Linked DNA regions of Lepisosteus oculatus. The protein of the gene in region 3 interacts with the protein of the main gene of each other region in a pairwise test. Links are inferred from orthologs where the notes say so. Each region holds a gene or a part of one and is shown on either strand. Other genes may lie near its edges.

Region 1 (7,125 bases), on a different chromosome or scaffold from region 3:
GAGAGCACCTGCGGTCCCGGCACCGATCGCGTCGCCATGTTGATCCGGACGCCGCTGGTCAGTCCCACGGGCCTCTGCTGCCAGAGGAGAGGGAGAGGGGTCAGAGTGCAGGGCAGTGTCAGGCCAGGGTGACCTCCCCAGACGGGTCTGGGAGCTCTGGGACGCCTCGGCGCTCCCAACAGGGGGACCGAGCCCCAGTCCCGCAGGATCTACTGGCCACTGATAAATCACCCAGTTCAAGGCCCGCGGAGCGGTCCGTCTGTGGTCAGCAGTGCCAGTGGGTGGGTGGCCTGCGGTGACCTGTGAGAGCTGCCGGACACCGGACACGGCCAGCGCAGGCAATAACCTACCTGTATCGTCTTGGTGATCTTCACGGTGGGCATGGCCGCCCCCACGGTGGGCGTGGCCACGGCAATGCTCCGCTTGAGGCTCAGCCTATCGCGGGCGTCCACCACCTTCTTGACCCCGCCCACCGCCGGGGCCCCGCCCACCCGGGAGTTTAACCCTTGCTGGTGCGGGGGGATCTGCGCCGTCCTGACGGCGGCCGGCTGGCCGTGCTGCTGCTGCTGCTTCCGCGAGTTTATCATCTCCCTGGCGTCCTGCACCGCGCCCCGGATCCGGAGCCGCGCGTCCTTCTGCGTGAGCTTCTCGCGGGCGTCTTTCAGGGGGAACGTTCCCGAGGCTGGGAGACAGACACGGAGAAAAGCCCAGACTCAAAACTCCTCCTCCCACACCGGCCTTGCTGTTATGGGGTCGGTGCCTGTGGCCCGTCCCTCGGTGCATCGTGCCAGCTCTGCGTCACTGTGTGCTTTGACTGTTCTTTTACTTTCCATCTGAAGTGATTTTGCGAAGCTACTTCTAAAGGTATTATATACGCTCAAGTGTATCACCAGCTGTGCCAGTCTCCTGTCTTTGTTAACTGGTTTGAACTGTTTTCTTGTAAGCCGCTGGGAGTGAGGAGTTTTAAAGGCGCCTCAGCAGCTACAGTCCAAGACCGTTCCCCCGAGACGAGGAGCTCGGCGAGACCCCAAGACAGGAGCGCTGTGTGCGCCCCGACAGGACTGCGGGTGCCGGTCAGCGCGGCCAGGACCAGCCAACGGGGCCCCTCCCCTGCGCTCGGAGAACCCGGGTTCGAGCCCCGACTGCCTCACCTCCTCCCAGCCTCTGGCGGGCGTCCGTCACCCCGATCTTCTGCCTGGCGTCGAAGACCCCCGCCCCGGCTCCCGCGGCCCCCCGGGACAGCAGGGGGGGCACGGAGGCGGAGGCGGAGACCGGGGGGCCGATCCGGGAGCGCACCCCCCCGCGCGCCACCGGTCTGAGAGGGAGAGAGCAAGAGACACAGGTCAGCGCTGTCCTGCCTGTCCACACTGAGCTACAGCGCCGGACACACGCCTGCACACCCACGGCTTCTGGAAGACCGAAACCCCTCGAGCGCAGCACGTGTGTACGTGTCCACTGGGACTCTCAATCGCACTGATCTCTCGGGACAGCAGGCCACTAGCAGGGAGGTGGTAATAATATTATTAGAGTGATAATAAAATTCCTTACACTTATCAAGTGCTTTTCTGGGCACTCCACTCACAGCGCTGTACAGGTCGTGGGGATCCCCTCCACCCCCACCTGGATGATGCGCCAGTCCGCTCCCCACACCCCAGCTCTCAGTGGGGAGGAGAGCAGAGGGATGGAGCCAGTTCGCAGACAGGGATTATTAGGAGGCCGTGACCGGTAAAGGCCAGGGGGAGATTTAGGTAAATGGTACATTGCAAAATGGGACATCATAAATATCATGTTTTTTGTTGACTAACCATGTGGCAGGGAACAGAAGCACATGGCCGCCCGAGACAGCAGCGCAGAGTGCAGAGGCGTGTTGTGCACAGTGAGCGGACCGTGAGGCGCACGGCTCTGGGGCAGAAGCTGTTCTGACGCCTGGCGGCCCGGGCTGTCATGGTGGGAGCTGCCTGGGATCTGCAAGGCTGCTGGGAGCTCACTGATCCCTGAACCTTCCCCTGGATCGGCCCCCACAGCACAGGCGGGCCAATGTGCTCCAGTCACCCCCCACTCTTTGTGCACAGCGTGCCTTGGTGGGGGGTAGTTCCAGTCTCAGCTTGCAGCTCGCTGCTTTCACAGCTCTGAAGTCGTGAACTGAGTCCTGAGGTCCCGACAGGAAGAGGCTCAGATCCGGAGACCCCTGCCCGACATCCGTCTCGCAGGCCGCCGCACCATGGCGACCAGAGGCGTCTGCGTACGGCCATACTGCCGCAGCAGGCGGCCTTTACAGGGTCTTCCTCCGGCTTTCAAACTCTGTCCTTTTCCCCTCCGCTGGCTCGGCCCCACCTCTGCCCCCCCTGCGCTACACACCATCGGCAGGCGAAACCACGGCACCTCCCGTGAGCGGATCACGCCTCTCCATCCGGGAGTGGAGTTCGGGACATTTCCACGTATGTGCGTCTCACAAGGACATAAAATCCCCATGTGAGAGATTCACAGCTCTGCCCGCGCCGCTAATCGGCCCTTATCCCTTCCTACAGCCCCCCGTACCCCTCTCTTTGTTCTGCCACCGAGCAGACGTGCTCAGCCGGTTAACTTTCATTGTTTTGGGCTGTTTTAATAAAGCGAATTTGGTCGACGCGATTCTCGAAGGAGAAGATGGACGGCGAGCTCGGCCAATCAAGGCGCTGGCCCGGCCGGAAGAGCCAATGAGGGAACAGAACCCAAGGCGGTCCAGCCAATCAGCCGCGAGCGGGGAGGCGGGACCCCACCAGTGAGGTGTTAAACAGGAGACGCGACGGTTTGCAACAAAGCGAAAATATCCAGAAAAACAAAACAGCAACAAACACAAATTCTCGGCTCCCTCTCAGAGCCCCGTCAACAAACGCGGCTCTTTCCCGTCGCACGGCTCGGACTCACCTGGCGTTTCCTTTGCCGTTCAGACCTCGCAGCCGTATCAGCTCGTCCAGGGAGAGGTCCGCCATCTTGTCACTGTGAGGGGGGGGCGGGGCGGGGGGAAGTCAGCGCGAGGACCCAGGCGCTACGGCGGCCGCGGAGGGACGGACAGTGCCGGAGAGAGAGCCGAAGCGTTCAGCACCCCCACATCCCTGAATGCCATTGGGGTTAAACTTCAACATATTTAACACAGACAGACCTAATGGGTGTTAAAAACAGTCACTTTGATCCTCACACACCTCACCCCCCACTGCACACAGATCAGAGACACCTCCTCACCCCGCAGCGCACACAGCTCAGAGACACCTCCTCACCCCCCAGCGCACACAGCTCAGCGAGGAGAGAGAAACTGCTTCATCAGGTGGATTAAGGGGGAGGTTGATCAGCTCTGAGTGGAGTTTAGTCTGGGGTTAATTAACACAGCTCTGTTTCCTATATTAATTATTATTGCCAGCAGCCATATCTGCAGGTGTGAGCCTGGCCAGAACCTGGAGGGGAGACTCCTGGGAGAGCTGAGGCTGCTGCTGGAAGAGGTGTTAGTGGGACCAGCAGGGGGCGCTCACCCTGCGGTCCATGTGGGTCCTAATGCCCCAGTATAGTGACGGGGACACTAGACTGTAAACAGGCGCCGTCCTTCAGATGAGACGTAAAATCGAGGTCCTGACTCTCTGTGGTCATTAAAAATCCCAGGGTGTCTCTCGAAAAGAGTAGGGGTGTAACCCTGGTGTCCTGGCCAAATTACCCCCTGGCCCTTACCAATCATTGCCTCCTAATAACCCCCCTCTCTGAACTGGCTTCATCACTCTCCTCCCCACTGAGAGCTGGTGTGTGTGAGCAGACTGGAGCATCATCCAGGTGGGGTACACACTGGTGGTGGTGGAGGGGATCCCCATTACCTGTACAGCGCTATGAGTTTGGTGTGCAGAAGAATTATAATTATATATTAATGACATTGACTGATGTGAATTCACAGCCTGAAGTGACTGCTTGTGGTAAAATAATTTTAATGCTGTTTATATTTGAACTGATTTTAAAGCCAATAATACTCAAGTCTTCAAATTCAAACAGCTTTATTGGCATGACTGGTAATTACAGTGTTGCCAAAGCATGTGTAATCAGTATAACATCTACAAACATTTTACCCTTTCACCACTGTTCCGAGCTCGTCGACTCGACTCTCACCCGTGTTTTCTGACAGCACAGAACTGCTTTATCAATGCGCTTGACTGCTCTCATAAACGTCGGGCGTCCTCATCTGTTGCAGTGTTAAGTCACATAAGAAGATCAGTCCTAACGACCGAGTCCATAGATCTGTTCCTGTAATGCCGCTGGGAAAAGGAAAAAAAGAACTCCAACTACCATCATGCACGCCGGGGGGAAACGCCTTCAACTTCTCCCATAGACCTCCGCGGCTAGACCGTAAATTTGCATAACAGCGAGGATAGTCGTTTTTGTACATTTTTGACCTGTTGTAAGACGCGTATAGACTCTAATCCCCTTTCACCACATCAGCGCACAATCCTGACTTCCACCTTTAGCCTCAGCGTCATATCGGAGAGGCGAGCGCGGCTCCTTCACTCCCACCCTGACCGGGGCAGCTCGGCGCCCGGGCCGGCTCCCTCTCCTCGCCCTGTACCCGGCATGCCTTAAACTAATGAGTAAGGAAAATAACGACCCGGGGTGACGCCCGAGTCCTCGCCACGACAAGCGAGAGCAATTTTTGAACGGGTACAGGTCGGAGCTGCCAGGTGACCTGCCTACTTTGCGGGATGCCGGCGGCGACGTGATCTGCCCCGACCCCCATCACTGTCAACCAAAAACAGAAAGGAAGTCCGAATTAAAGAGCGACTAAATATCGATTTCGCTCTGTTATTGCTCGCTGGTATCGTAGCGGCGGTGTGTCCAGTCGATCGGGCCGATGAAGACGTCGGCAGTGTCACTGAAACGGTTTTGCGAGCGAGTTCGACCCGCTGCCTTTCTTGAGCTCGGCTGGGGGGGAACAGGTTTAGTAAGTTGACGATCGCTTTCGGAGCAGGCCGGCGGCTGACGCCGAGGAGCGGGTCGGGTATCGGTGCTGAAAGCGCGGTGATTGTTGTCCGGTTCGGAAAGACCGACCCCGACCCCGCCCCCGCCCCCGCAGCGCCCGGCTGACCAGGGGCGGGGAGCTCCCTCGCCTGGGCGGATAGAGGCATTACAGCCCCACGGGACCGTGGACATCCTCCTCCTCTGGACTTCAGCGGGGTCTGTTTCTCCTTGACTCTCACCCTGGTCAGATATTCATGCTAATAAAGCACCTTGAATTGAATTGAATTGAATTGAAAATATTCAGCTGGTGTTTATTTTCTGTTTAGGATCCTGAGACATTCCAGTGTGTGTGTGTCCCAGTGGGGGACGCAGTGCTGTGTGTGTTGTGTTGTGCTGTGTGTGTGGTGGGTGTTGCTGTCAGTGAGCTTCAGGACCAGCTGGCTGAGGGCTCTTCTCTGGGCTCAGCTCTGGCTCAGCAGGGTCTTGTGGTGCTGGGAGCTCTGCTCACTGGTTCTCAGGGGTGACCGGGGCTGTAGTGCTCTCTGTGCCTCAATCCCTCTCCCCTCTCTCTCTGTGCCTCAATCCCTCTCCTCCTCTCTCTCTGTGCCTCAATCCCTCTCCTCCTCTCTCTCTGTGCCCCAGTCCCTCTCCCCTCTCTCTCTCTGCCTCAATTCCTCTCCCCTCTCTCTCTGTGCCTCAATCCCTCTCCTCCTCTCTCTCTGTGCCTCAGTCCCTCTCCCCTCTCTCTCTGTGCCTCAGTCCCTCTCCTCCTCTCTCTCTGTGCCTCAATCCCTCTCCTCCTCTCTCTCTGTGCCCCTCAATCCCTCTTCTCCTCTCTCTGTGCCCCTCAGTCCCTCTTCTCCTCTCTCTCCATTAATTGCGCCTGCCTGATAAGTGGTTTAAGTCAGTAATGCCCAGTTTAACTCTACAAGAGAATTAACTTTTCACAAGACCAGTTAATCGCTAATCTGCCGGTGACCCCCCCCAGCTGGGGAACTGGGCTCTCACACACCAGAGTACCTGGGACTGCTGCCACAAGGAGCTAAGGACACAGATAATAACACTAAGAACAATAATAATAGTAGTAGTAATAGTAAGACCCAGGTCTGGAACTGCCTGTCCATGTGCTCACAGCAGACGTTCGATTTTCTGCATCAGTCTCACGCAGTCTGGTACTTCTGCCAGGTTCAGCTCCCTGGACCCTGTCTGTACCTGTTGGTCTGTTGGTTTTCTTCTGTAGATCTGCCTGCCTGCTATCCTGGTACCTCTCTGTCTGAGTACTGTCTGTCTGTGTGCGGTATGTGTGCAGTACTGTCTGTGCTGTCTGTGTGTGTGCAGTGTGTACAGTACTGTCTGTGTGTGTGCAGTGTGTGTACAGTACTGTCTGTGCTGTCTGTGTGCAGTGTGTGTGTACAGTACTGTCTGTGCTGACTATGTGCAGTGTGTGTGCAGTGTGTTACGTGCCTCAGAGGGTGTTACGTGCCTCAGAGGGTGTTAGTGCCTCAGTCTGTGTGGCGGGAGGCTGATCTAAACCACAGCGACTGGCCGCGGATTGTGGCTGCAGGACTGAGGGTCCTTTGTTCTCTGGGACACTGAAATATTCCACAGTGGGGATTTCACGACGATTTGGGTCTGGGGGCAACAGGGGTCACCAATTAGCCTCAACCTCGCTAATTACCACAAATCCAGAGTCTGCTGTTGTGAGATTTGCGCTTCAAAATATGTGGGATAGAAAAGGTCAGCCCAGTTTGAGTGCTTACATAAATAAGCACGTCAAAAACATGAACGAACCACTCAGGAAATAGTATTTTAATTAAACAATATCACGTGCTTGAGAGATTGTTGAATGTTTCAACATTACTGTACTATAATGCGCAGGACTGTATTATACACATTGCACTAAACTGCATCTTACTATACACAACAACTCTGCTAAATTCCACTTTACTCCACTTTACTCTATAATTCTAGACTGTACTCCATACAGGCGGCACGATGGCGCAGGGGTCAGCTTTGCTGTTTAGCAGCACTGGGGCCCTGGGTTCAGTTCCTGGGGTGGTGCCTGTGTGGAGTCTGTATGGTCCCCCCACGTGTCCCCATGGCTGTTCTCCAGGTGCTCCGGTTGCGTCCCACACTGGGTTAACTGGCTCTGGTGTG
Region 2 (7,970 bases), on a different chromosome or scaffold from region 3:
CCCATCTATGAATTGGCTTCATTACTCTGGTCTCCTCCCCACTAATAGCTGATGTGTGGTGAGCGTTCTGGCGCACTATGGCAACCATCGCATCATCCAGGTGGGGCTGCACATTGGTGGTGGTGGAAGGGAGTCCCCATTACCTGTAAAGCGCTTTGAGTGGAGTGTCCAAAAAAGCGCTATATAAGTGTAAGCAATTATTATTATTATTATTATTATTATTAAAACAACAGCTCATGGAATAACTCCTGAAGAAGGTTTCCTCTTGAAAGTCAAGATGGAGTGCTGTAAGGCTGAGGTGATGTCTGCTCAAATTAATTGCTGTCATTTCATGTAGTCATTCAAAGGGTGTACTATCAGGCTGGCTGAATCACTGTTTGATATCCTATCCATCTTCATACAGCTTTAATTCTATTTTTCTTAGTGCAGCACATACATTGTGCTTCCATCTCATGCAGTTATTTTACTTATCTTGTACGTGCATGAAAGTTGCTTGCATTTACAGTAAGTTTTCATTTAATCTGTTTTTCCCTGGATAAGATGTTCAGTTAAGCAAACAAAGCTTCCGCAAAGCTCAAGTGTGGAGGCAAAGTAAGTGTAAACAAAGGTCTGGGTGAAACTTCAGCATGTCCTGGCCTATTTCCTTACTGTACCTGCTCTAAAGGAACCAGTACAAAATGACCAGGTGCTTTGTGGGACTTTGAGTAATGTCCTACATCAGCTAGTTAAAACAGCCAAACCTTTTCAGTCCTGAACAGTGAAGACCGCTATGGGACTTGATAAAAGTATTCAAAATCTTCAAGGACTGTAACAGTCAGCATAGGGGATGTTCAGAAATGCAGTGAAATCTAAACTAGAGGACACAGCAGTGGAACTACACAGAAGTGCATTTAAAACCAAGAATGGAAGGCACTGTCTCTGGTAAAAGATGGTAGGAGTATAGGACAACCTACCCAGCTATGTTGTTGAATTGGATAACCTGGCTTCTCTCAAGAAACAGCTGGATGACATCCTTGAACGATTTGGCTACTATCAAACAGGCTAGATGAGCAGAATTATTGCAGAAGCCAAAGTAGTAACAGTTCTATGAATTATTTCAGTTAATCATGGGGAATGTAACAAAGCAGAGGACACAGATTTCAGGAGATCAAATGAAAATAAACATCAAGCAAGTCAATACAATCTAGGCCTAACTCTTGAGAACTTTAAAGAAACCAACCAGAAGTATTGCTTTAAGACTAGGATGCCACTGAGTTCTCTTACAATAAGACATATTCCTAGCGCTGCTGCTGCTGTAAAAACTGTGCTAAATGTTCCAGAACACTGGATACATTCAGCTACAGCTTACAAAGCATTACTGCAACGGGATGTCTGGCACCAGCATAGTCCTTTCAACTTTAAGGTTGGGGGAAAAAAGAACTCAAACAGAAATACCAGAACTACAGAAATTAACGAAGATGAATACTTAGCATTTCAGTAAAATGGGAAACCCATTTCATAAGCGTTTTAGAAAATGACTGCACGCCCCAATCAAGATGTCACATCATACAAAAGTCAAAAAGGATCATTGTAACATTCTTCCTTTTTCTAAATCAATTCGCCACCGCATAGTACCAAGTGTGTACCTTGAAGGCCTTCTGCAGTTGTCAAATGTTGTTCATTCAAATATAGTATGATACATTTGAAACCTAGAAAATGTTTAACTCCCTCAATTCCAATAAGCTTTCACCACAAAATGCATCTTTTGCGCCTATAAATAATATTTCATTACATTTATACTAAACCCAGTGGGCTGCATTGAGGTTGTACGGATATTTTTGAAAGGGGCTTGTGCAACAGATCAATGACCAGTCAGTCCAAAAAACAGTGGTAACGAACAAAACGTCAACCGAGCGCCAACATGGGAGTAATTTAAATCTACAGTACCAGGTGTAATCATTCTCCTCATCGCTGCAGAATACGGCATCGAGGTCCAGTACTTCCACCTCATCCAGAATTGTGGGCTCTGTGCTGTTGTTGCAATCGTCCTGTGCCACAGCAGCAGCTGGAGAATGCGGGTTGAAATACAAGTACTGTTCCTCCGAAGGGCAGTAAGAACCGATTGCTGACGGACACAGGAGCGTCGGTACCGGGCTCGGAATACAGTAACTCCCCGTAAATACCGGGCTGACGACTCCCCCAGCTCCCACAGGGCTCCCGAGCAGACAGGCCGGGGAAGACTGCAGGATATGCGGGCTGACAGTACAACTACTTACGGCGTTTGCCCTGGTCCTTAGCTGCTCATTTTGCATCTCCAGTTTTCGTACCAGTTCCTGCAGCTTTTTCACCTCCAGCTCCGCATTTACAGCTTTATTCTTGCAATTAACGTCCGCCATCATTTGGGGTTTTAGCACAGCGGCTTCCATTGAATTAAAAAAATACACATAAGTATTATGTAGCTATATATAAATCACTCCTGTAAAAAAATGGTGGACCGGGGTTGCGTCTCCCTGCTTTTTTCCCTTGCCTTCACTGAGATTTGTGCATTACGCTGAACCAATTGAGCAGTGCTCCCATTCTACTGTTGCATTAAGATGCTACGCCAGCCACCCCCAGCGAAAAATAAAGACGCTGTCTCCTCCCACAATGCCAAGACCGGCTTCGGAATGATGAATCCAGCGGACCTGCACAGGCTCAAATAGGGTTCAGGTGCGGCCAGTGCAAATCTGTAACCAAATGTAATAGTGTTCTAGACTCAGTTCATTACACTGCTGTGTGTGTGTGTGTTTTAAATGAGAGTCCACTCCTGTATCGTCACATGCTGTTGCGTTTTTGTAACCTACATACCTACTGTATATGAAGGAGGTTATTTATAGCTGGAAAACTTTTCTCCCCACGAAAGCTACAATCTGAAGTTAGTGCACCTGTGATGCAGTCTTGTGCACTTCTGCTTATGGAGCTAGCGAGGATAAACGTCTGCTCCTCAGGCTGTCTTCACTGTTAAAGCTTTCTTGGCGTCAGATGAGTATAAATAGCCTTAAATGGTTTTGTCCGACGTCTCAATTATAGATCTCAGCCGGTATCTAGGTCGTCTCAGGGATAATCCTCGTGTATTGTAAGAAACTGGTCTACGTCGGTTTGAAGTTTCCACACAACGGCAGTGTGCCCAGTTGACCCAGGGGTCTACGGAAATGTTAATCATACTCCTTGTTGATAATACGGCAAATGTGTAAAAAAAACAACATACGCTTTTTTTTTTTAGTAATTACATAAGTAGTGTTGTGAGGTGAGGTACTCCACAATGGTACTGACGCTAGATAAGCGTCAGGGTATTTAACATTTTCGCTCTACACGAGCTGGGTTTTTTATAGATCTGGTGCGGCATTCTGCCTCGTTTTATTTGGGCTGCAGCTGATACCTAGTAGCTGAATAGACTCAAATCCTCGAAAGCTAATGGGCAATGATGGACGCATTCTAGGGTTGAGTAATTTGAATTAGTCATTTGATCACGGTGCAAATGTTATTGACTCATTTCCATATCAAACTAAAACATTTGGACTGACATGGATTGATATAAACTTCAAATCAATCCTCCCCCTTTCTGTCTTTTCAACCACCAACATTAACCAATATTAATATATTCACATTACAGAATTAATACAATAATTTGAGAGTTTTTCCACAAAGTTCTTTATTGACTTTTTAGTCAGTTGTTTCAGAAAGGCTTTAGCTTCTATTTGACTTAAAAGATAAACCATACTATTAATATGTTACCAATTGGATATGCTTTTTAAGAGTAAGTAATCAAAGTGCATTAAATGTGAGGGATAGCCATCTAAAATCAGTAAACACAAAGGTTAATAGTTCCCTTCCACCTATCATCTGTCTTGCCCCATTTATATTAAAGTACAAATCTCTTAATGATTCAAAGATGTCTTAGTAGGTATTTGTTATCATTTACTGTAACATGGTTATAGGGAAAAATGGACCCACAACCCATAATTAGGAGACAGTTAGAAATGTATGAATATAATTTTAATTTCTTCTTGGCTTCAGAACTCGTTAGGGGAAACCATTTTTCCAGAATTAAAAAAATAAACATTCTAAAATGAAACCAAAAAAAACCCAACCCTAATGAGCTCTGAAGGCTAAGAGAAATGCTTAGGTACATTACAGTACATGATTCAAAACACCAAGGAATTCCTTTTCAAGATACACACATTGTGGGGTTATTTTGTACAATTTTAAAGGTTGTGGACCAACTTACAAATATTTGATTTATAATTTTAGATATTTAATATTTGCAGACATTTTGTGGCTTCAGGATATCTTGTCATTTTGCATCTTCTTTTACATCTTGTTCAGCGACGCCACTTTTCTAAAAAAAAACAAACAACACTAACTATGCATCAATGGCATTAGAGCACTGCCACTTCACCAATACAAAGAGGCTACTGTCACTATGGACAGTACTGCATATTCTTTACAGCTATACAACCACAGATATACCAATCTACAAAACATTTATCACTTTAAAATATGAAATCAGACATTATAAAGGTGCTAAGATGTAAAACAGTGATAGGTTACTAGATGTTTATGAATTCTTGCAAGTGATTTCCTTTCGAGTAAAAAAGAAACAAGGATATGAGCAGCATTAATATTATGTTAGCTGTATACCTGCTATAACTGTCACCTGGCATCTTTCAGTAACGCAGATGAAAGAAACCCCCTTCCTTAATGATTAGACCTTACACTCACTCAGAAGAACAGATGCCTTTAAGTCTCATGTGCTGTAGTACTGCAACTGATGATGGGGATAAATCTCAACCTTCGTTATTTTGTTGGCCACCACAGCATTTTGACTTAAAGCCAGGCAAGCAATTATCATTGTTTCTAAAATGACGTTTGAAATCATTCTAATGGTGCAATCATGTTAGGGATTCAAGATGTATTGCCTAATTTTCAATACTAGTACAGTATTATAGAGCACTGTTCTTTATCTGGGACCCCCAGGTCTGAGATCATCTTTCTGGGTGTGCAACACATGCCAGATTCTTAAAGAGATGCAGTAAATGATCAAAAACACAAAGTACCTCCATGACTTTTGATAAGGTGTGTGAGAGCAGATTTTGGGAACCAAAAGAGTGCAGGTTGCAGTGAAAGGTAAGAACCACCGATATAGAGGACTGTGTATAGTTAGACATGTTGGACACCTAAAACCGTGAGAGTCCAATTCAAGGAACCAGGGTAAAAAAAATCACAGGGTTTGGGCTTACACAACTAATAAACCAGAAACTGATTTAAAAGATTTAACAGAGGATTTGTAATCCTCTGTCTTTTTTTTAATTACTAAACATGCAGAGACACAGAGGACACTGGGTTAAAAATGTTCAGTCACTGCTGCAGCAGAAGTAATTCTGAAAAAGTTACATAGCCAGTTCAGCACAAAAGTGATCTGCCACACAGTAGCCGCTACTACAAAGTTACTTGATTCCCAAAACCTGAGTGATAACAGCCCTAATGCTCTCCCAGTGCAACCTGCATTCACTCATGCTGTAGATGTTGGGGATTACCTCTAGTCATTCCAAAGCAGCTCTCACAGTGCACAGTGCGTCTGTAAATCCACATGCTGTCTCCCGCCTTCAAGTGCCCCAGTGAGCTGTTGCAGACTTCACACTAGAAGAAAGTGAAAAGTACGGAATTAAACCTTGAAGTTTGGAATATGATACTCTACTATAGAGATCTATTTGATTTTTTTTTCTCTAAAAAACGTTAAAATCTTCCAAGCCGGTACAGTATTCACCATCGAAAGCATCAACCTGTGTGTATTGCTTTTGAGACCCAATGTCACCGTTTGTAAGAACTGTTACCACCAAATTCAGGAGCATGCATATTCTTTGTTATCTTAAAACAGGACATTTTCAGCAGTTTGGTAGGTAAAGTACTGAAATACTTTAAAAGAGGATGCAGGTGCTATTTTTTATTCACAGCAGCCAACCCTTATGTTCATGTTAGACTGGGACCTTGGTTTGACCTTTCCCTACTGCAGTTTTAAATTAAGTGTTTATAGAAATTTGGGTAATTTCAGGAATTTAACGTTTTTCTTTTTCCTTTTATAAATAGCTGTCATGAGATGGTCCTTATTATTTTCCACTTGTTTTTTTGGCTCGTGCCAGCAAAATGTTTCTTCTACATGATGTATCTGAACACTGAGACACTGCACTGGTAGATCCATTGGATATGTGAAAATACCATCAGAAAACAGGCAGAGGCCTTCAAAGATGTTGAAAAATGTGAACCTCTGAGAAATAACCTTTAATCTTCTTTTCGTTTCACAAGATATATTACCAGGATTCATACAGTATATATGTACCATATTTATGAATAGCTCATACAGTATATCACGATGCTATATAAAAATCATCTTTAGACATTTCTGCTCTAAGTCCTTAACTAGCTCTACATTAACAGAAACCAAGAACAGGTACATTACGCCTCTTCCTGACCTTGAAGCAGGAAGCGTGACAGCATATCTGCAAATCATCCAGGATCATCTTTGCTTCAGTGTTAATGGGCTTCCGGCAGTAGGTGCACATGTCTCTGTCAATGATGCTCCTATAAAGAAATCCCAGGCGTATTATGTAGTTGAAGTCAGTTGAAATCACTGGTATTTTCATCGCATTGTTAAACAGAAATCAGTCAAACCTGTCGGAAGTAGAATAAACTGTCTTGATTGATTTTGATGAGAGCATGTCATCATGGAAGTCTTCCGGCCTGCTGTTGAAACAAATACAGTAGGTACATACTGTATTTACTGGCAAGCTGCAAACTACAGCATTCGTTGAACACAGGATCCATGTGAATCTTTACTTATCGTGCATCAGTGATCGCATTAAATAATATGGTAACTTTAAAAAGTGGCTTATTAATCTTGTATGATTTTAAAATATTATGTGTCCATTAAATTAAATAATTTAACATTAATTATTCATTTTCATGGATCACTTGTCTTTCAAACTAATTATTAGAGCTTCTGATAATCTTCTGGACATCTACATCATTATCTGTACAAAACATACAAATGACATGACCGCTGCTTTAAATTAACCTAAACATGTATTGCATTATTAACCGCCCACCCTAATTTATTTTATAACATTAAAATATATCTCAAAACATTGAATAAATGTATGATGAAGAGCTGCATGACATAAATGCAATCTAAATGACACATTATCCAACACATTTTGATAGCTGAAATTTCAACCAATCAATCATGCAATCAGTCAAATTTATGAGTCTTTTATAACTGTCAGGAGTTGACAATAGTGGGTAAGTCTCTGATCTCACAGCTGGTAGGTTGTGGGTTTGACTCCCTGCTACAGATCTACACTACAGTACCCTTGTCCACCCCACTGTGTACTGTACATGGGGACCAGCATGGCTGGGGTGGTCATCCCTGCCATAGACCAGTGTCCTATTAAGGGGAGAGGATTCATGTTCTCTCTTATCCACTGAACACCAAGGAAAACAGGAGAAGCTCTGGTCTGATGAGCTGATGGGTCGGACATAGCAAATGACAGTTAGAATCGATTTAAAAATCCAATTAAAATAATACCTGCTTTGAACATATGATGTTTTGGTATAGACCGTTGGGCTGGATTCACTGCTGGTCTTGTAACTGAAAAGAAAAGAGCTACGGTTTGCTAAATATATCACAAACTGCATCACAGTTTCATAAGCATTACATGCTATGTCTTAGGATAGGTCAACATCAGGTCGTCTGTTGAGTTTCACACAAAGCAGGGAGGTCAGTGTGATAAATGTTATACTGAGTTAAAAATGTGATGATTTTTACTGTGTCCCACAACATTTCAAAAAGTATTTCTATTTTCAAAAAGTGTTACCTGGAATCACTCAGCTGACTAGAGTAGCTCCTGGGTTGGCGTACCGCATCAGTGTAGTCATAGCTGGATGAACACAGTGGA
Region 3 (6,951 bases):
TTATTTAAACTGCTTAAGTTTTTCATTAAAATAACTGTTATACATACCATTTTTAAGAGCTGCTATCAGGGCTATAATACAGGCATCCAGAATATTGCCATCGTAGTCAAGACACATAATGTCACAGTACAGGACCCAGCAGAGCTAAAATACAGAAAGCTGCAAATTACATTACAGAAAAAAATATATACACTGCAAATTATAATAAATATAAGCTGAGGTTTAAAAAAGTGTGAAGAAGTCTTAAGTAATTACTTTTAAAACATTGTTAATAGCTGGAGATCAAGAGAAAACCCACCTTTCCTTTCTCAATACAAATGTCTTCTCGTCGTATTACCTGTGAACTATAAAGAAACCAAAATATGTTTATATAGATAAAGTGTGATCAGACAACAGAACTTGAGAAACGGAGAATAGTTTAGTTTTGAGTAGTTCAACAGTGCAAGACAACTGGAAAAGTCTTAAGAGACTGTGTCTTCAAGCTGATTTCTATAGATCAGGTGTGGTCCATCCTAATCCTACAGAGGCAAAGATCAGCCTTAATTAACTATTTCTGATTACTTAAAGCAAATATAAAACTGTGGACTGACTTTCAGTTTTCTTTATTCTTAAGGGTCTAAATTACTCACATTTAACCAAGTGGTCTGGGTAAGTGGGACATTTTCCCATGGCATTATACATTCTTCATTCAAAAGTGATCCAGAAAACCTACTGGACTGCTGCTATGCCGAACAAGGACGGGGTAACTTTGGTATAAATGCTGCTCTGGGGCTGAATACCTTTCAATGACATCTGCGATAAACTGACTGGCTGCCTGGGCTTGTTCTCCTGGAGGACCAGGGCGAAACCGAGAGGAACAGAGGGGCGGCAGATCGACATTGGGAACTGAAACAAACACGAAACAAGCGTGCTGTAAGATTTACTTGTGCCACATCACCTGCAGAAGGAAGGTTATTCTATGTCCATACACCATAAGAAATTATTTTCTTGATATATGCCCTACCTATGTAACCTTTATTTGGTGCATCTACTGGTGGAGCTGTAAGTTCCTGCAACAGAAAAGGGGTGGGGACAAAAATCAGGGTGAAATGGATCCTACTTACAAATTCTCCTTTTCCAATCCCTCTGTCACACCAAGAGAAATAGTCTATAATTAATATTCCCTTTACTAAAATACTTGCCTGGGTGACTTGGCAGTCAGTATGCACCAGCGGCCTGACAATACAGCAGATCAAGGGGAAAAGTGATTAACCACTTCACCCATCACATTAACAGGAACTATTAAAAAGGCCAAATCCAGAGGGGAATTTAGACAGTGCACCTGGGGTTAATCCCCATACTTTTTCAAAAAGTGTCAAGGGATCTTTAATCAGTGAATAGTCAGCTTGATGAACATTGTTTAAAATAGTGGAAACCAGTGTACCTCTAAGAATATTATAGAATAACACTCTACTTGTATTTAACACTAACATGCAACAACAGAGATTTTGGTGGACACTAATGGACAGCTGTGTTATTGTTCTCACAGGTGTACAGTAATAGAAGTGTGGCTGGCCTTACCGCTTTAATACCACAGATGATGGTGGTATTCCCTATCTTCACTAAGGCAGAGCCATCAGCCGTTGAAACAGAACCTAACGAAGCGCATTAAGATACATTAGTCATCTACAAAACAACTTCTTTAGAGCAGTAATGAAACTAAAGTCAGTGACCATTCTGGTACAATGCCTCATCAGCATGAGTAGAGGATTCAAATCTTTTTTACACCTTGGTGTGTTTGAGAAGTTACTGAATAGAGATGCTAATTTAAAGCAAAGAGACTGTATACTATTTGCCGTTTAACTTCAATGGCACAGAGCCTTACAGTATATCAAGAACTGTGAATGCTCACCGATGTTCAATGTGGTGGTTCGGAATTCACCAAGCTCTCGTCCGTCAGGCCTGCAGTTCTCTTTCTAATGGGGTCGAACAATCCAAATCACTTAAATTCGCAGAACTTCTAGAAAAACTGTTTCATTTGACAACTCTTCATCTTAACCCTGACGCTTAACTCAGTTGTGAGCAATCATTACACTTCCAGTGCAAGTCTCTCAAGCTAATGTTTAATTATCAAAGTGATCCTTCAAAACATGGAACCCTTTTAAGACCATTTAAAAATGAATGCATTAATTTACCGGAAGATCTCCGGTCTCACCAGTACACAATGTATTGTCATTCGCGTTGATCATTACTTCTGTATTTCAATAATGGCTTTAAAAAATTGGCATTACTGTCATGGTATGAATGAACCTATACAGGAAGCAATTTACTCCTGACAGTAACTTACATCTACACGTAGTAAATTGTGTGTTGAGACTACGAAATACAGTTAGACAACCAAAACATACCAAAAAGCTTCTGTGGTACTCCAGAGGGTCTGCAGTTCTGAAAGAGGAAAGAAGTTACATTTTAAAGAGAAGCAAATCTCATTTTCTCTTACATTTTCCCTTCTGTCAAGACTTCACAACGCAAAAATAATCTGCCGGGAAAGTAAAAACGATGTACCATACGTGTGCGGCTCGATCTTGCATTAAAGCAACATACAGTAATGCTACATTATAGACAGGCTGTTCATTTGAATTTGGAACACTACGAATGACCACATTAAATGAATGGTTCATAAATGGAAAACTCCTGTTAAAGACACGAATGGAGCGACTCCCTGTACTTATCAATTGGTTAAATAATTTCACAACGCGGATTAGTTATGAATTAATACGATATATGCGTATAACGTTCCAAACGTAAATTATCTACAGTCCCGGTTTCAGCAGTGGAAATACAGCGATCTTATCAGAAATCACGATGTTCGGTGCCTGAAAACAATCCAATGGTATTCCTCATCTCCACTGAGTGGTTGAAATTAACTTTTCATACGATGGGGGAATTTAAATTCACCTACTTGTAACCTGCCGCCATGCTGCTTCCGTGGTGCACCACGTGAAACGGGTGGGCGGGGTGAATATACCAAAGATTAGCTCGCAACAGATTCGCGTTTTATGTACTTTGAATTTCTATATTTTTGCTTTATTTTACTTTATACGGGTTAAAAAAACGAAGCCTTTTTTAATTAGCTGCACGTAACGTGAAAAGAGGAAAATATCATTCGCGTGATGAATGAGGTAAATGTGATATGTGGGGGGGGGGGGACGCATCTTGATGTTTTGCAATTTATAGTACTCATAATTGTATAATGTTAGTATGTTCGAGACAGATCGATATTTACGTTTTGAATTTTAAAATGTATTAGCATGAGAGCCAGCTCCAAACCGGTAGAGGCCGCAGTCGTATTTACCTTACCCATGTGTATTCGATGCCCTCTTGGATTATGATGATGTGTGCTTAACACTTGGGAAGTGGGAAACACTTCCGCGTCAGTGTATGTCAGTGAGGGCAGTTGTAGCTACGTGTAAAAAAAATGGTATTGCGGGAAAAAAATAGTTGATTGGTTCGATGTACTAGCATTTTTAGTTTTGGGGGAATACGGTTCATGTCTTTCTGTAGGCCCTGGAATGGAAAATGGATTGCTGTTTATGTGAAATCGTTCTAGCTTTTGCTGCTGTAGCCCTGATTTGTTTAATTTTGGTAAGTATGCATGGATATTGATATGTACATGTATATCATTTTAAGTCGATGTTATCATGGGCAGTACAAATGCGTATGAATTATCGCGATTTACGTTTACGGTAAATTATATTTTTATTTACAGCACTTGTATGCTGATGTGTTACCTCGAAGACACACTATTCTTGAGTAAATTTGAAACCAGTCCACTGTTTCTGATCTCCTTGCACATTAGTGGCATTTAACTTACAAGAACTATACAGTACCAGTAACTACATTTTATTGGTTTTAAAATGGTTGTGTCTAAGTATTGTTGTCCACATCTTTCTCCAAGGAATAATATTAAAACTGTTAAAACATTTAGGCTAATTCTGTATTCTTTCCCCTTAACGTATTTGGAATATTTGGACTTATTTGTGTTACTCTTGGATCTGAAAATAAAACGCCATCCGTGACACAATTACCTGCTTGTGATTCATTCATTCAACAGTTCCTGGTCTCACAGAGGTGCCAGGGACAATTGCAAACTATGAGCAAGCAGCTTTATACTTAACATGGTTTTAGCGCTAATGTAAATGGGTTTTTTTTAACTTCATGTAACTCTGGATGCAAAGCAGTGAGATAAATGTGTTCTTTACAGGCTAAATGTTAATATAGGTGCTCTAATGTCATTGCACAGTACGCTTTTTATAATCTCCTGATCACCAGTATTTTCTTCAGGGATCCCAAGTACCAGGGCATTGTTGTACCCTAAATTGGGAATTTCTGGGGTACCTGTGTAATTGCAAGTTTTCTAGATCTCAATGAAGGACCAACATAAGAAAATCTGGGAGGAGCTGTTAAATTCAGCTGATTTAGGCTGAAATCAGAAAGAGAACCTGCAGACACACCAAGCCACTGGGAGTAGGACTGCCCACCTCTCTGCTACATGCTGGGAAACAAAAGCTTTCCAGTCTGCTTTGTAGAATGGTTGTTAAATTTAAATGCCATGGAATATTTTTACTTGGGGCTTGCTATAACAAAACTCACATTTCAGTTGGGCACCCCTCCCTTTATGTACAATCAGATTATACTGGTATGTGCACTTTCATGAGTTGCACATTTATTAAGCACTTTTTCGAATATTGAAACAAACAAGGGCTTTGTTTTGTTTTCTTGATCAAGGCCTTTTAGAGGCAAAACAGCGCTGTTGCAAATTTTCAATAATGCCGGGATAAGAACATCTTGTCCCCCTCAAAGTACAGTAGTTGCAAGTTTCAAAATGAGATCTTGCTTTACTTTTGCTTTGCTTTACTTGGGAAAACCAAGGTTACAACTGTAATTTACTTATTTTAATTGACATCGCACGACAAGTGGGAAGCGATTTTTCTTTATTTCCACTGCATACCGAGTTGGTGACACTATTGATAGCTTTTCCCACGCTAGAGTCTCTCTAGTGTTTGGTTTAAGTTGTTGTTTGAGATAATTAATAAAGTGAAAATTTGAGTGAGTAGTATCTGGCGGAGCGGTGGCTCTGTGGCTAAGGATCTGTGCCTGTGGCTGGATGGCTGCCGGTTCAAATCCCACAGCCGGCAGAGGAATCCTACTCCATTGGGCCCCTGAGCAAGGCCCTTAACCCCAACTGCTCCAGGGGTGCTTTACAATGGCAGACCCTGCGCTCTGACCCCAGGCTCTCTCCCTGTCTGTGTGTCTCATGGAGAGCAAGCTGGGGTATGCAAACAGACAATTCCTAATGCAAGAAATTGTAAAGGGTTAATAAAGTGATACTATTATTATTATTATTATTATTATGTAGTTCAGGTGGGTAGCTGCGTCAAAATGCGTAGGCTGCAAAGAAACAAGTAATAGGTTTATTCCATGCTGAAAAAAAGAAGAAAGAGAACACAACGTTTTGGCCGTGGAGCCTTCTTCAGGTGTGGTGTGTGTGTGTTCCTCTACCGCCACCTGAAGAAGGCTCCACTGCCGAAACGTTGTGTTCTCTTTCTTCTTTTTTTCAGCACGGAATAAACCTATTACTTGTCCCTTATTATTATTATTATTAGAATAAGTTTCCACCCACAATGTACCCTTCACGTACAGGATTCTCCTGTGTTGTTAGTATTCATTTGTGTGCATTTCACGGTCATGGGATGACCCTTGTAACTCTTACTGTACATTACTGGGAAGGTTGACGAGTGGGTGAATGACTGTTCCTTCCTCCTCTGCAGGTGTTATTAGTAGCACATTTTAGTGCGTCTAAAATTGTTGACCTGAAACGTCACGAGAAGGAAAAAACTTTCCTGACTAATGAAGGGAAAAAAGAAGCTTTTCCAAGTCTCCACGACCCCCATTCCAAAGACCTCTCAGTGATAGTGCCCTCATACAATGAAGAGCAGAGATGTAAGTTTTCTTCCTCAAGAACGCTTCAGCACAGACTTCAGTGTCTGTAGTTTGTCCAGGTTTAAAGATTAATTGCTGTCTTTCTTTTGTAATGATGCAAACATGTTGAATCTATGGTTTGGAAAAAGGTGCAGTTCTAGTCAATTAAATGATACTGAGCTGTTTTAATTTAGAATTAAGTATTAAGTCTGCCAGATTTTAAAGAGCTGTAACCATCTTACACTGTTAAATTTCATATATTGTATCTCAGCCACTGTAGTTTGAGATATAAAATAACTTCATTTTCACCCTCCACATTCCTTACAGCAGAATAAGTCTGAGAAGCAATGAAGTAACCCTGCTTTGTTTTAAAGCAATGCCAAAAATTTTGATGTAATTCATTTAGAAGCTTGACAGCATTGCATTAATAATTTTACCAGTGCAGGTGACATGTTGGCACAGTGGTTAACCTTGCTGCCTCACAGCATTGGGTCCTGGATCCAGTTCCAGACCTGGGGTGCTATTTGTGTGGAGTTTTGTAGGTTCTCTCCATGTTCACTTGGGTTTCAGCCATGTCCTCCAGTTATTTCCCACAGTCCAAAAACATACCGGTTTGTTAATTGAATTCTGGGAAATGTGGCTCTGGTGTAATTTTGTAGTGTCTGTGTTTGTATATGTCTGCCCTGCGAGGGACTGGCATCCATTCCAGGATGTACCCTGCCTTGTGCCTGTTTCTTGCCGGGATAGGCTCTGGCTCCCCAGCAACCCTGAATTACAAGAAACAGCTAGAAAATGGAGTTTCACAGTGCTTTTTACCTGCCTTACCTGTTACAAAAAAATAATTTTAAAATGTTTTTTTTTTACAAAGTTTGTCAGATGCACAGCTATCGCATTCTCGGTTATACAGAACCGTACTGTTGAAAAACAAGTGACTGTGTTGTCACACTCTCCTTTCAGTGCCTTTGATGATGAATGAGGCTTTGGAGTATT
Region 4 (7,139 bases), on a different chromosome or scaffold from region 3:
GCAGCACACAGCTGCAGGTTGTGTCCGAGTTGTAAAACCTTTCAGTGTTTCTGCAGCTTTCAGGATGACACCAATTTTTTAGTTCTATCTCACCTCGTATCTGGCACTTAAAACATCTTGCTTGCAAGACTTCAGGGGTTATGTAGAAAAAAAAACATAATTAGTAACTTCCAAAATAAACTCTTAAATAAAACTCTTTTCCAATCATTCATATAGTATGTACAGCGCATGAAGTTAATATAAACATTTTCAGCTGCAGCTGTCTTAATTTTACTTTATGTGGTGATGAAACTGGACAACAGCCTTTTCTTGTTCATACGTTTCTATTGATCCTCGACGAATGCTTCTTATTTCTGCAATCGCGTCAACCCCAGTGATTTTCCTCTTCTTCACCAGGTAGCAGGCCAGCATTGTTCCTGTTCTCCCATGTCCGAGAAGGCAATGGACAGCCACACCCTTAAAAAAGTAAGATACCATTTACAAATTGTGTAACACTAAATGAATTAGTGAATTACCCTGTGGAGAAAATGCCTAATTCGTTTATTATGAACTCAGCATTTTGCTAACAGGGAAACCATGGTTCTAAAACTTTTTAGCTTAAGCTTTGGTGCTTACTGCACATGTTTAACAGACAAATTAGTACATTGTTTTGCTTACAATTATTGCCAAATGTCAAATTAACACCTCTTCTCTAAAAAATAAATACATATAGTTTATATAGTGACTACAAAGGCTGCATACAAGAGAAGGCCATTAGACCCATCTAGCTCATTCAGCAGTGCAGTAGCTTACAGACACGATGGTGTGACAAGAATCGTAACACAATCAGGAACCAATTTGTGCTTTGAAGGTATTCTAAATGTGCTTTCTCCGTGTATGATAACTTAATTCCACTTACAGCTTGTACAAAGGTAAAATAACTTGTCAGGAAACACCATGTTTCACATTGTGGTATTTGTTGAAACATTTTATCTGCTCTTATATGGGCCCATAAAAAAATGTATGCCATATCTCTGGGTACATACTTCACCCTTGGCGTTGGCCTCTTCAACAATAGCAAGGAACCTCTTGATCTGATCCATACTGGGTGGACAGAAGTCATCTATTTTTATGTGGTGCAGCGTCAGTCCCGGGCATGAATCATGATAAGGAGGCTTTCTTTCACACAGAGTCACCAGGTGCTTTATGCCGTTGTCCAGCAGGAACTGATAGTGGGCAGGCATCCGCGGTAGGGCCATCCCAGCCAGCTTCTTTGGCTCAACCCAGGAAAAGTTAGGTGGAGTTAGAGAAGCCATGACTACAGCAGCCTGAAAAATCAACAGCAGCAACCATGATTTTCCTGTCTCATACATTCATGTCTCCAATTCAACAGAAGAGAATGTTCTAATGCTTCATTGTACAATTGTGTAGAAACAACAAAAAAACAGATTCTATAGAGGAACCAGTATCATATTGACTAAGATCAGAAATTTCCAGTTACACTGTCGTATAACGTCTTTATCATCTACACAGACTTTTCCAAGAGACTGCTTTTTGGAAAACATTATTCTTGCACAATGAAGCACTCTTCAGTTTAATCCCTAGTTATGACTCACCCATTATGAAGCTAGACAGTCAAGAACACACCCAGAACCCCCAAAAATTCAAAATATTTTTACAAGGCTTTTTTCATGATCATGTTCTGTGATGTTTTGCTCCAGTATACTTGCTGCTTCCAAGAATTGAGTGAAACTGTACTGTTAGCTTTACATAGAGTTAACAGGGGTCTTTCTTGTACTATACATAAAATAATATCAATAAAATATGTACTTTTCTCAAATTGGATACTGGTCTAATTTATTAGTTACAATAAAAATCCGTTGCTTCCCGAAAGCTTTGTTTTTCATTTCTATTTATTTTGCACCTTCAGTCTTAAATTAGAGAATCCCCTTACAATGAGCAGATGGCAACTTCTGGATCTGTCTAAAGACCCCCATGCCATGTGACTTCCTTCAGCTGTTCAGAGAGGGGCGGGCGAGGAAAAGCTGACATTCAAATCCAGCCAAGTTCTTAACCAAAATTTCGGCAGTTTTTTTTCTTACAGCAAACCGGCACAGTACTATTTGAATCAATTTGATCAGATGTTTGCCGACTCGCTATTTTCAACGAACTAGCCAGCTACTTTACGCCTGTATTTGGAAATGTTATACCTCGAATCTAACTTCAAATATGCTTCAGCTTAAATATTTAACGACCACCACTTTAAGTAATCCCGCACCAAACATAACTACCACCAACGTGCATTATATGAACTACTTGTTCCTTAATACCCAATATCATGGAAGAGATGCTGAATTAGTACTTTTACTAGAAAGTGCTAATTTAATTATACATCAACAATGTTAAGAACGTCTAGCGTAGTGTTGCTCGTGCTGCTGTTACGAGTTTTTAATTCAATATATAAAATCCGTTCACAATTCGAACGACATTTTAAACTCAGAGATCATAAAAACATTTACACACCGAAAACGCTCTTTTTAAATTTTGTTTCGCTTTGGCGGTCGTTTCCGTGATCATATACAAGCGATACAGCCTAGTGAGATTTTAATATGACTGAAACATCTTGAGCAAAACACAGACATGACCCGAAGCAGAAGTTAGTTTTCCTGAGTTTTATTGGTGCATTGCTTTAGAGACACCGCCATAAATATACTGAATTGTATCGAAAACAAGAGCTTTAAGTTTCTGTAGAATGTAGTCAGCTAATTTAAATAGAAAAGCACAAAATACGAAAAACGCCATTCAACAAACCTCTACACCGCGGAGAAGAAAGGCTCATACGAAGCTGGACTTCAATCTCCTATGAGGACCCGGCAGAACCCCGGAACGTGTTCGCCCGAGTGACGCTCAGGAAGACCTATCAGGGACCAGCATCTCCACCAATGGCTGCGTCCTCCACACACACACAGAGAGAACACGGCTCCGGTTTTTACATCCTTTTAAAAAACAAAAGCTCGCGGATCATTCACAGATTAATTGTCACCTTTTTCGTTGGTGCACGAATGAAACTAAACGTGAAAAAAGATAGTGTGCAGAGGGACACTGAGCACTGTTCGCTCAACGTCAGGATGGCCGAGCGGTCTAAGGCGCTGCGTTCAGGTCGCAGTCTCCCCTGGAGGCGTGGGTTCGAATCCCACTTCTGACAAGCTTCTTTTATCGCCATGCAACAATAAAAACACTTAATTACATATACAATAAATATTTTTTTCTAGTGCATTCAAAATATTCCATTCTAGAATTATATAAAAATAACTCTATTAATACACACTTATGAACAATCTAAGATAGGAGACTCATTACTCCTAAGAATATTACCATGGCAATTTCATTCAACATTTCTCATCCAACTGGTGTAATTTTTATTTCTTTATGACATCCTCTGCAAAACATCATGCAGCACAAATAACATAACAGTTTGTATATTAAAATGATCCCCTGCCCCTATACCACAAAACATCTCCCTAAATTTGTATATAAGAATGTATGTAACTATCAGAAAATACTATGCAATAGCAACTCACATGACCCATATAGAGCATTCAGTCCTGTAGCAGGAAAAAAAAAAACTTAAAAATGTTTCTTAGTTATACATTCCCAAAATACATATAACATTACATTTCAGGAAGTAAGCGAACATTGCAAAGAGTCACTTCTTTGAAACTTTATTATCCAGAGATTTTTCTAAACGTAATGTCCAACTCAAGAAATCTGTAAGAAGTATGCCATTTAGAATGGCATAGAAAGGTACTGGAAACCTTTGAAGGGATGTTTGGAAAATGCATATTCATATCTCTTTAAATATTGTGTTATGGTTTGTTCGTGATCAGAATTACATCTATGTTTTAAAAGAAATTCTTGGGTCTCATTCACCTGTGTGAATTCAGTCTCCAGACAAGGTTAGATGTTTTGTTTGATTTTTTAAACAAAGAGAAATCATTAAATCATTAATGTACATATTTATTAGGGTTTGAAGAATTCCAAAAAACAGTAAATCTAAGCAACAACTCAACTTCCATAAGTAGAGTTAAAAGCATTTTTTTTAACCCAACAAAAAGAACAAGGTCAAACTGATTCTGCACAGTAAAGTTCCCATACTGTATATACAAACATATAGAAAGAGTTTTAGGACCCAGATCAAAACTAATTATAATGAAAGGCTAAAACAGCCAGTTAAATTTATTTTTATTCAAATGAGGTGTTAAACAAAACATTTATGCACGGTATAAACAAAAACAGTCACAGACACAACTGAAATGTTCTGCATTACCAGCATACAGCCTATCCAGTTAAGGACTGGAGCTGAATCACCCCTAACTTCTAACCCAGTCCTAGTGAACACACCAACTGTGAACTAAGTAACTAAGAGCAGGAACTTTAAACTGGTTAACATAACATTACACCTTGCTTACACACCACTATAAGGATATTCCTCATAACAGATGCATCTATAATTAGTTCAAGTTATTTACTTATTCACGCATTAATGAAGTACACATCCCAGTACTGAGGTATGTGGTCTATTCAAGGTTTGACAAATAATTACTAGAAAATGTTAGTTCACGATGGGGAGGGCAGGGAGGTGAAAGAACAAAAAAGCAAATGTGATCCACATCTGTGACCAATTAAAAATAATATAAATTCAGCAATTCAGGGCGTTGAAGAGTGTATGTTATTCCTACATTAACATATTTTATTGGATAAAAGGTACATGCATTGCTTAATATATACCTTGATTTAAATGTTTCAAAGTTTATAGTATAATTCTAAAAAATTCATGTCTGTAATGAAGACCAGTAAATGTCACATAAAGATCAATAGTCACACTCAGACCACATAGTTTTGAAAAAGGTTTTACAGCTGTAACAAGTCAAAGGCACAGTATTAATTAAATCAACCAAGAGAATATTCTATAATTCAAAAATCAAAATAACTTGTATTCAACTTTTTGATTGAAATTTTCATTCAAAGCTCATAATGCACATCAAAGATTCTTGGCACAAAACCAAAACATTACCAAGTACATTTTTCAGTACAAGAACTAGAACAATATGGCAACACTTATCTAAAAGGAAATCATAAATATAATCTATAAAATCTATGAAAGACTGAAACCTTCATAGCTGGAGATGAAGACTACATATGATTTTTGAGTATATTAAGATGCAAACCAAGATCTGAAATACTGAAAATTGAAAATAATAATTAGTACTCAATCTTTACACTTTTAGTCTACACTTTGCACTGTAGAAGTCCTACTTAATCTATTCTTATTTAAAGCACATTGTGAATAGAGCAGGAGGAAACGTCTGAACACAACCTGCCATTTCAAGATGTCATTAAATTATGAGATTAAGGAAGTGGGTATTTCCCACCATCAGAAAACATTTTTTGGACACATTTCCAGTGTTTTTGGCAAATAAGGGATGATTTTAAGGCAAAATATATGCATTTTTCCCCATGTAAAATACTTAAGTGGAAAGAAATCACCATTACATTTAATCTGTGATGAAATAATTACAAAGCTTGGACATCAACTATATAAAATGATACAACTTATACAAATACATTTGTAAGAAATAGTTGTCTGTTCTACTATCTAAAGAAGTTTCCACAGTAGTGGACAAAGTATCTATGCCTTGACCATATCACACATCAGAATAAGACGAATGCAGGTTTTCATTGTCAAAGTACACACCTTAAAACAAAAACTTTAGGCAATTCCTAAAATCACAAACATGTCATAAATATTGAGCAAACGTTCAGCAATTCATTTACACTGCCAACCCAAACTAGTGAGGTTAGAAATGAAACTTTTAGTAGCCGATTGTCTTGTAATAATCTCCCAGATCTTCATTTCTGCATCCTAGAATCCACATCACTTCAGCTGCAAAAAAAGGCATAGAAATATACTATTTAATATTATTTACTTAAACTAGAAATCTAGATACTATGTACTATGATATTGTGGTCATATCAATTGACACCAACATACAAAGTAACTTTAAATTATAGTGTCAGCCAAATTAATAACAATTTACCATCACTTCTTTTTTATGCAAGCTGTTATGTTTAAATACATTATGCAGCAGTTATTGAAAGAATTAAAAAATGGCATCATTCTATAGTACACATGAACAATAAATGATAAACTAACCGATTTCTCACTATACAAAAATTGTCATATTAATAAAATGTAGTGCAACCAAATAATAAAACCCATTACTGTAAAAGTACAGGCAACAAGCTACCTGGTGATATCAATATTGTGAATTTAGTATAGTTAAGACATCAACAGCTCAGAGGAGAAAATTAAAAATGGAAGATGAGCTAAACAGCTTAGGAAGTTAACTAAAAAAATATAGACCTATGCATCTCTCATTTTAGTAACTACTCGTAAGTAAAGTGCTCATTTAACAAAGGATGAGTGAAGTAAATTCTTAAATGTTTAAGAAACAAAGATAATGAGTTGTCACAACAATTTGCTTTTCCCCCACTGAAACCGGGACAAAACTGACTTAGGAATCAATGCACCGATATATACGATTCATAGCATCTATATTGCTAATTCCCAAACCTTAACACACTGTTTAAATATACCGAAGTCATATGTAAAACACTTACCCTGCTTGGACAATGGCATCACTTCGGTGAGCTTCTCCCTCTCTCTTGACTGCGGATCTTGAAAGCGTCTTGGCTGAAGTTGAATTCTAGGCTGCTCGGAGTCATCAGCTCTGCCGTAGCTCTCTAGTTTGGGGTATACATTGTTGCTTTTCTTTTGTGTAAGCGAAAGTGAGTGCCTGACGCTTCCACATATTAAGCTAGATGTCTTTGGTGAAGCATCCAAAGCAGACTCAGGACATATCTCCTGCTGCAATCTGAGTCCAAGGATACAGTCAATGTAAGCGGCATGTCCAGCTTCAACCAATTCCTTAGCTATATTCACACCATTTGACAGGATATCTACTTCCCACAGATTTTCAAACACACACTGTCTAAAATAAATCACAAGATTTCTCGCAGACATGCATGCCTGGAAGAATACTGCAGCTTCATCTGTCCAGTGTTCCACACCAGCAGGATTAACCCCTCTAAGAATACAG

What was found.
Region 1: the proteins of exosc8 (region 3) and poldip3 interact in a two-hybrid assay, tested with the Homo sapiens proteins (2 studies listed by BioGRID). The link is inferred for Lepisosteus oculatus from reciprocal best matches to the Homo sapiens genes EXOSC8 and POLDIP3.
Region 2: the proteins of exosc8 (region 3) and slain1a interact in binary tests that used the Homo sapiens proteins (3 or more experiments, as listed by UniProt). The link is inferred for Lepisosteus oculatus from reciprocal best matches to the Homo sapiens genes EXOSC8 and SLAIN1.
Region 4: the proteins of exosc8 (region 3) and dusp23b interact in binary tests that used the Homo sapiens proteins (3 or more experiments, as listed by UniProt). The two-hybrid records come from large-scale screens. The link is inferred for Lepisosteus oculatus from reciprocal best matches to the Homo sapiens genes EXOSC8 and DUSP23.

The regions. Positions count from the first base shown.
Region 1 is NC_090707.1:39,126,564-39,133,688, reverse strand, and holds the start of poldip3 (polymerase delta-interacting protein 3), read right to left. Parts: upstream 3,019-7,125; 5' UTR 2,973-3,018; coding exon 2,908-2,972; intron 1,316-2,907; coding exon 1,152-1,315; intron 683-1,151; coding exon 351-682; intron 78-350; coding exon 1-77. UniProt on the Homo sapiens protein: Is involved in regulation of translation. Is preferentially associated with CBC-bound spliced mRNA-protein complexes during the pioneer round of mRNA translation. Contributes to enhanced translational efficiency of spliced over nonspliced mRNAs.
Region 2 is NC_090710.1:17,006,356-17,014,325, forward strand, and holds the start of slain1a (SLAIN motif-containing protein 1a), read right to left. Parts: upstream 3,024-7,970; 5' UTR 2,406-3,023; coding exon 1,927-2,405; intron 1-1,926. Other genes in the region: scel (sciellin), read right to left, coding at 4,341-4,357, 5,556-5,658, 6,489-6,597, 6,688-6,759, 7,601-7,663, 7,890-7,952. UniProt on the Homo sapiens protein: Microtubule plus-end tracking protein that might be involved in the regulation of cytoplasmic microtubule dynamics, microtubule organization and microtubule elongation.
Region 3 is NC_090700.1:15,732,018-15,738,968, reverse strand, and holds the start of exosc8 (exosome complex component RRP43), read right to left. Parts: upstream 3,008-6,951; 5' UTR 2,959-3,007; coding exon 2,942-2,958; intron 2,425-2,941; coding exon 2,388-2,424; intron 1,956-2,387; coding exon 1,892-1,955; intron 1,635-1,891; coding exon 1,561-1,634; intron 1,050-1,560; coding exon 1,004-1,049; intron 886-1,003; coding exon 780-885; intron 345-779; coding exon 299-344; intron 145-298; coding exon 48-144; intron 1-47. Other genes in the region: alg5 (dolichyl-phosphate beta-glucosyltransferase), read left to right, coding at 3,559-3,624, 5,811-5,982, 6,919-6,951. UniProt on the Homo sapiens protein: Non-catalytic component of the RNA exosome complex which has 3'->5' exoribonuclease activity and participates in a multitude of cellular RNA processing and degradation events.
Region 4 is NC_090697.1:25,229,728-25,236,866, forward strand, and holds the start of dusp23b (dual specificity protein phosphatase 23), read right to left. Parts: upstream 3,021-7,139; 5' UTR 2,791-3,020; intron 1,308-2,790; 5' UTR 1,296-1,307; coding exon 1,026-1,295; intron 457-1,025; coding exon 271-456; 3' UTR 130-270; coding exon of another isoform or gene 108-129; 3' UTR 1-107. Other genes in the region: tdrd15 (tudor domain-containing protein 15), read right to left, coding at 5,853-5,923, 6,661-7,139. UniProt on the Homo sapiens protein: Protein phosphatase that mediates dephosphorylation of proteins phosphorylated on Tyr and Ser/Thr residues. In vitro, it can dephosphorylate p44-ERK1 (MAPK3) but not p54 SAPK-beta (MAPK10) in vitro. Able to enhance activation of JNK and p38 (MAPK14).